2 linked regions of the Sus scrofa genome follow. The protein of the gene in region 1 purifies or fractionates together with the protein of each later gene. This does not show direct contact. Links are inferred from orthologs where the notes say so. Each region holds a gene or a part of one and is shown on either strand. Other genes may lie near its edges.

Evidence for each region. Proteins that work in one complex are often made in the same cells at the same time.
Region 2: the proteins of HDAC1 (region 1) and BRMS1 purify together in Homo sapiens (affinity purification with mass spectrometry; 7 studies listed by BioGRID and IntAct, counting the BioPlex papers as one, with this or other methods). This does not show direct contact. The link is inferred for Sus scrofa from reciprocal best matches to the Homo sapiens genes HDAC1 and BRMS1.

Annotation. Positions count from the first base shown.
Region 1 is NC_010448.4:88,766,470-88,770,117, forward strand, and holds part of HDAC1 (histone deacetylase 1), read left to right. Parts: intron 1-1,769; coding exon 1,770-1,887; intron 1,888-3,648. UniProt on the Homo sapiens protein: Histone deacetylase that catalyzes the deacetylation of lysine residues on the N-terminal part of the core histones (H2A, H2B, H3 and H4).
Region 2 is NC_010444.4:6,044,814-6,048,561, forward strand, and holds the start of BRMS1 (breast cancer metastasis-suppressor 1), read left to right. Parts: upstream 1-1,263; 5' UTR 1,264-1,414; intron 1,415-3,748. UniProt on the Homo sapiens protein: Transcriptional repressor. Down-regulates transcription activation by NF-kappa-B by promoting the deacetylation of RELA at 'Lys-310'. Promotes HDAC1 binding to promoter regions.

The sequences.
Region 1 (3,648 bases):
CAGCAGCTGCAGCTCCGATTTGTCCCCTAGCCTAGGAACCTCCATATGCCATGGGTGCGGCCCTAAAAAGCAAAGAAAGAAAAAGGAATTGTTGGTATGATGATGATTTATAAAGGATTTCCCATTTATTTCAGTTATTACTAGTCATCCTTTCTTCCTTGTTAGAGCCATTTGGGTTATAATTATGTACTGTTATATTTCATATTAAAAAGTAATCATTTATAAGGCCCTTTCCAATTTATAAAGAGATTTTACAGTCTCATTCAATTCTCACAACTTCCCTGTGAGGAAAATATTGCTACCACTATTTAGTAAATGAGAAAATTGAGGCTCAAGAGATAGACTTGCTACCACAATTAAAAACTTAAAACAGGGGAGTTCCTGTCATGGCACAGTGGAAACAAATCTGACTAGGAACCATGAGGTTGTGGGTTTGATCCCTGGCCTCACTCAGTGGGTTAAGGACCCAGCATTGCCGTGAGCTCTGGTGTCGGTTGCAGAGTTGGCTTGGATCTAGCGTTGCTGTGGCTGTGGTGTAGGCCAGCGGCTACAGCTCCAATTAGACCCCTAGCCTGGGAACCTCCATATGCCGCAGGTTTGGCCCTAAAAAAAAGGACAAAAAGACAAAACAAACAAACAAACAAAACCCTTACAACAGGGAGTTCCTGTTGTGGCGCAGCAGAAATGAATATGACTATAGAGATCATGAGGTTGGGGGTTCGATCCCTGGGCTCAATCAGTGGGTTAAGGATCCAGTGTTGCCATGAGCTGTGGTATAGGTTGCAGACGCAGCTCACATCTGGTGTGGCTGTGGCTGTGGCTGTGGTTGTAGCCAGCAGCTGTAATTTTGATTCAGTCCCAGCCTGGGAATCTCCACATGCCTCGAATAAAGCAAAACAAAAAGCAAAACAAAACAAAACAAAACAAAAAAAGCAAAACAAAAAAAACAAATACAAAACCTCAAAACAGGAGTTCCTGTCCTGGCTCAGTGGAAATGAATCTGACCAATATCCATGAGGACGCAGTTTCCATCCCTGGTCTCACTCAGTGGGTTAAGGATCTGGCATTGCCATGAGCTGTGGTGTAGGTTGAAGATGTGGCTCTGGCGTAGGCCAGTGGGAGACCCCTAGCCTGGGAACTTCCATATGCTGTGGGTGCAGCCCTATAAAGACCAAAAAAAAACCCACCTAAAACAACCTTTTTCTTTCTTTCTTCCTTTTTTTTTTTTTGTGGGGGCTGAACCCGTGCTGCTGTTGCAACCTGTGCCACAACTGTGGCAACACCAGATCCTTAACCTGCTCTACCACGAGGGAACTTCCTTGAAACAGTTTTTTATTTTCATTTATTGATTTTTTTGTTTTGTTTTGTTTTTGCTTTCTCGGACTGCATGCAAGGCATATGGAGGTTCCCAGGCTAGGGTACAAATTGGAACTACAGCTGCTGGCCTATGCCAGAGGCACAGCAATGCGGGATCTGAGCCAAGTCTGGGACCTACACCACAGCTCATGGCAACGCTGGATCCTTAACCCACTGAGTGAGTCCGGGGATCAAACCTGCAACCTCATGGTTCCTAGTCAGATTCGTTTCTGCTGTGCCACGAGGGGAACTCCTCCTTTGATAATCTCACTTGTTTAACCAGATTGTAAATTTCTTGAGGCCTGAATCTAACTAGCAGTTTCTTTTTACCAGGTGCAGGCAGGGTAGCTCAACGCTGAGTGAAGGTGGCAGCGGTCAAGAATAACATGCTTTTTTCCCCCTGTGTGCTCTAGCGCCCTCACAAGGCCAATGCTGAGGAGATGACCAAGTACCACAGTGATGACTACATTAAATTCCTGCGCTCCATCCGCCCAGATAACATGTCTGAGTACAGCAAGCAAATGCAGAGATGTAAGTCCGTTCCGTTCCCTCCCTGCTCTCAAGCCTGCAGGTGGATTTCCTTTTCAGTCAGAGAGGCTTACCTGACCTTCCCTTGTACCCCCCATTTAGCTGGTACCTGATTTCCACGGCTTCCTAAGGGTGCCAGAGCGCTTCTTTTTTCTCACGTCTGGTTTTCTTTGTTTTCTGATTATAAGGAAGAGATTGAACTTTGTCCATTTAGGGTCACTAACACTGTCCCCCCAAAACTGTAATTATTGTAATGGAGAAAGCACCCACTTGGGAGGTAAACACAGGCGATGTAGGTCCCAGCTCTGACTTCCCCTCAGATTTTTCTTTTGTAAAATGGGCTGGAGGTCATTCCATTCAATTGCTCTCACTTTGTTAGTATTAGGACAGACTCTAGATGATATAATCTTTGATTCTGCCCCTGCCCCCTGGGCCTTGAAACTCAGAGCAGGTCTCATCACAGAAGCCTAACTCAGTTTAGAGCAATTATGGGGATTATTTTAGCTGTAGGGGTAGAATATGTTCAAATTTGGGAAGAGGAGTTCCTGTCCTGGCTTAGTGGCAACAAATCTGACTAGAATCCGTGAGGACTTGGGTTTGATCCCTGGCCTCACTCAGTAGGGTAAGGCTCCAGCATTGCCCTGAGCTGTGGTGTAGGTCATAGACACGACTCCAATCTGGCATTGCTGTGGCTGTGGTGTAGGCCAGCAACTGCAGTTCCAATTCGCCCCCCAGCCTGGGAACCTCCATATGCCTCAGGTCCGGCCCTAAAAAGACAAAAATAAAATAAATAAATAAAACAGTGTAACAATATTATCCAGAGGTGGTTTTGATTAGTTTATGATAACTTATTCCAAATATCAGCAACTTGGTGGCACTTGTTTTGTTGCTATTGGCCACAAGGTAGTCTGATTCCCAAGGCAGAAAGTTATTTGTTTACAATAAGTATGCAGTGGTAATGACTACAGAACCATAGAAATCTTTTTTGAAGCATTAAGTTTCTTTGCTCCCTACAACTCCAGGAGCTGCTGTCCCATCTAAGTGAGATATTTACTCCCTGAATTGGCAGGGTCTTATTTCCTTCTAGGGTGAGAAATTCCTTTGCTTTAGGGACTTTAGGCCCTAAACTTATATAGGCTAGTGATCAGGCTCCACTCTTAGCAGAGAGGGCTCTCATTAGAGAAGCAGCTTGATACTGAAGCAAGAGAATGAGATTTGGTGTCTTGATTTGAATCCTGCACTACCACTTAGATTTGTGTTCCTGATTAAGCCCCTTAGCCTCTCTGAGCCTTGTCTTTCCTGCTGTGGCACAGCAGGATTGGCGATGTCTCGGGAATGCTGGGACGCAGGTTTGATCCCCTCCTGGCACAATGGGTTAAGGATCCGGCGTTGCCACAGCTATAGCATAGGTCGCAACTATGGCTCAGATCTGATCCCTGGCCTGGGAACTCTGTACACCTCAGGGTGGCTAAAAAAGAAAAAAAAAAAGTCAAGGGAGTTCTTTTATGACTCAGTGAGTTAAGGATCCAGTGTTGTCCCTGCTGTGGTATGGGTTCCATCCTTGGCCTGGAAACTTCCACATCCCACAGGGGTGGCTCAAAAATAAATAAAAATAAAAGGAAGACAGGAGTGCCTATTGCATAATGGAGGTTGAGGGGATACGTAAGATAATATATTTAAAACACCAACTGTCAGTGAATAGTAGCTTTTGCTCTTATGACTTACTGCTTTTGTTATTTTCAGTCTGTCAAGGCAGACGACATA
Region 2 (3,748 bases), on another chromosome or scaffold:
TTAGGAGGTGGCTGGATGGCTGAAAGATCCAGGATGCCTCCAGAGGAATGGGCATGCTGGAGTGAGCAGTGATGTCCGTCTCTGGCCTGGGAACCTCATCAAACTTTGCTGACCTATTTCTCCCTCCACAGGCTTGTGAGTTGCACGTGGCAGGATTCGATTTTGAGGTGCTGAACGAAGGTTTCCTGGTTCATAAAGGCTTCAAAGAAGCTTTGAAATTCCACCCCCAAAAGGAGGCCGAAAATCAGCACAATAAGATCCTTTACCGTCAGTTCAAGCAGGAGTTGAAGGCCAAGTACCCCGACTCCCCACGTCACTGCTGAGCCCTTCCTTCCCCTAGTCTGAGAAGTCTCAGCCTCCTCCCTCCTTAGGCCGCCCCTCAGGCCTGACTGGGGTAAGAAACGTCACTCCACTTTACAGTGGTAGCTGTGGTGTTTGAACACTGGACTTGAATATGGGGTGCTGGGATCAAGTCCTAGCTTAACCACTAACTAGCTGTGTGGCCTTGAGCAAATCCCGTTCTCTCTCTGAGCCTCAGTTACCCCGTCTGTAAAAGGGAGGTGAGAATACCTACCTCACAGAACTGCTGGGAGGCTCAGATGAGATGCTATATGTGAAAACATTCTGTAAGCTTCGTACAAATGTGAAGTATTATTAATATTATTACAGTATTATTATTGTTGTTATTATTATTGTTATTATTATTAACAATCTTGGGTGGGTGAGCAGTAGGAGAGCAAAAAGTATGAATGGGGGCAGAGCTGAGAAGTCTGAGTAGTTAACAAAATGGGCTTTTTGGAAAGAAATCAGATGAAGGCGTTGAATTTAGTTCTTAGCTTTTGGGCAGAAGCCGAAACTTCCTGGTGTCTTAGGCCTCCGTCCCGGGGGCTCTAGAGAAGGGAAGGATCTGCAGGTTCTGTGCGTCTGAGATCTGTACCCTTGAATAGCCTGGGCTGGGTGATTTGCCTACCGACTACAATGTGTAAATAAATGAGTGTTCACACCTACAGCTGGCTCCATTACTCTCCGGAACCGGGCGGGGGTGGGGGCCGCGGGTCGCAGGTTCTCCCCTTTCGCGCCGCCGGGAGGTGACTGTGGACCCAGACGCGAGGGCTGCAAAGCTAGGAAGGCACAAGGGCCTTTCCTGCATGCTGAAAGCCTGTGTGAATGTCGGTCCGTTGCCATGGAAACCGTCCCGCGGTATCCCAGCATGCCTCGCCCCAGCTATCCAATTGTGAGCACTCCGATGGGCGCCTCCTGATGACGCATGCGGAAAGCGCGGGTAGGCCCCGCCCCCGGAGAAGAGGGACCGGTGCGGCGCTTCCGGGACCCCCACAGCGGCAGCCAGTACCGATAACCTCCGGCACCTCTTGGGGAATCTAAGACGTGAGGCTGGAAGCGCCACTACCTACGGGTGCGTAACGCCAACCCTGGCGCCTGGTTTGCCCTTTCGGACAGGCAGTCGGAGCCTGCCCAATATCCAGGGCGGTAGCGAGACTTAACCGCCCGGACGCGAGCTGGGGCCGCGGGACCGAGGAGCCAGTGACTCTCCCGCCCGCTCCGCCGCGTACGGAGATGGAGCGGGGCGCGAGGCTCTGGGTGCGCCGTGGAGGGACTGGGTCGGCTTCTTCGAGGGTGGGGAAGAATCTTCCTTCCTACGAGGCGTGCCCTTGACATGCTCGCTTTCTGAAAAGATAAATTGCATGTGCACAGCACCTTATAGTTTGCTTTTCGATCCCTTACCTCTTGCCATCTTTACAACACCCAGAGTAGTGATGGTTATCCTCATTTTGTACCCGGGCTAAAGTGGGGAGGATGTGATTTAATTTGGCTCTCTCAGTAGACCCAGAGACTGGTGGAGAGAGACCTCCCCCCAAGCCCCGCCCTCTCTGGTCCAGAAAGGTGGGACTTACCCCGAGTTGTTAAAATATATTTAACAGTGAAGAGAAATTGCAAAGTTTGGGAACTCCAGGAACTGAGGCTTGAAAAAGGGAAAGAGGAGGCTGATTTGGAGAACCGAGGTTTTCAGCTCAGGTTCAGATCATTTGTGAAATCCTTGAGGAATGCTTTGAAACGGCCCTCTAGGCCAGTCAGTTTACTCAAACTGATGTCAAGGAAAGGTGACAAAACACTTTGGGTTTGCTACCACTGTAGGGACCAGGGGCTACTAAGAAAGCCATTTCCTGCCCTGCAAAAATGTGTTTTGTTTAATTTGCATTCGCAAATCCTCCAGTGGTCTAGTGAGTCAGTACTGCGCGGGGTGGGTAAAGCGCGTGTGCAGCCCTGCCCTGGGGAGGCTCACAGACAGGCATGAGGATGGGCAACAGACGTGGAAATAAATAAGGAGGGGCATCTACGCGGATCTGAAGGACTACAAAGTACCCAGAGGAAAACATCCGGTGAAGTAGAAACCCCTTTAGTCAGAAATGATCTATTGAGACTGTTTAGTCTTCCTCTTGGGCGATCTTTTGGCAGCATTTGGCACTGTCTCATCTCCTTCATTCTGAAATTCTCTCTCTCCCCCTATACTCTGACTTTTTCCTCCTCTGTCTCTTGCTAATTTCCTTCTCCTTTCCTGGCATCTTGTCATCTGCCCCTTTGATGACCCTAGAAGTTCCATCATGAACTCCTTCTCACTCCACACATTCTGCCTTGCTGGTTGCACCCTCTCCCAAGGCCTGAAGAACTCACGATGTGATGACCAGATCTCTGCAGCCCACATTTCTCTGTGAGGCTTAGACCCATGGACCCCCAGCCCTGCCCCCTTCTCTCCTCTTGGGGTGTTTGCACCTGCTACTCACTCTACTTAGAATGCACCCTCTCTTGACCAGCTCAGCTCATCTGTCTGGCCCATCTTCCTCTGCAGGCCCTCACTGCTGCAGCAGGCTCCAGGTCCCAGTTAGATGCCTCTCCCGTAAGCCCCTGGTCTTAACTCTTCTCACCCCACAGCAACAGTCTGTTTCTTAGCCTTTCTGTCCCAGGAACTTGTAAACTCCTTGAGGTCAGAGACTGTCGCACCTGTGCCCAGCTCCTACCATAGTGTCTGCTGCTACCTAGCATGTATTAGATCTTCAGTAAATATTAAATGAGTGACTAAAAGAAGGAATGCTTAAGACTGTTCAGTTTGCTGAGAAGTCAACCTAAGATAAGCACCAAAAAATACTGGCATTAGGTACGAGGAGTTCGTCAGTTAACTCTACAGGATGGGCTTCAGCTGAGAGTGATGATACAGGAACAGAACAAGTGGGAGGTGGGCGAGTAGGAATAGCAAGTGTCCACAAGGCCTTGAAAAGTAGCCATGAGGTGGAAAACGGCGAGCAGTGGGGTGGGGTGAGGTTTTGTGTTTCTGCTTTCTCTCTCTGGTGGTAGATACCTGAGCACGTCTGACGTTCTCTGGGAGGAGCTGTCAGGAGCGAGAGTTGAAGATGCATAAGGGAGAGGGCAGCACTGAGGACATGAGATCATGAAGGAAGCAGGAGATAGGATTTGAGCCCAGTGAGAACACAAGCATCGTAGAGTGTTCTCAGGAAGAGAAGTGGAGGGCGGTGTAGGCAGAAGAATAGCACAGGAGTTCCCGTCGTGGCGCAGCAGAAAGGAATCTGACTGGGAACCATGAGGTTTCGGGTTCAATCCCTGGTCTCGCTCAGTGGGTTAAGGATCCAGCATTGCCGTGAGCTGTGGTGTAGGTCGCAGACGCAGCTTGGATCTGGCGTTGCTGTAGCTGTGGTGTAGGCCAACGTCTACAGCT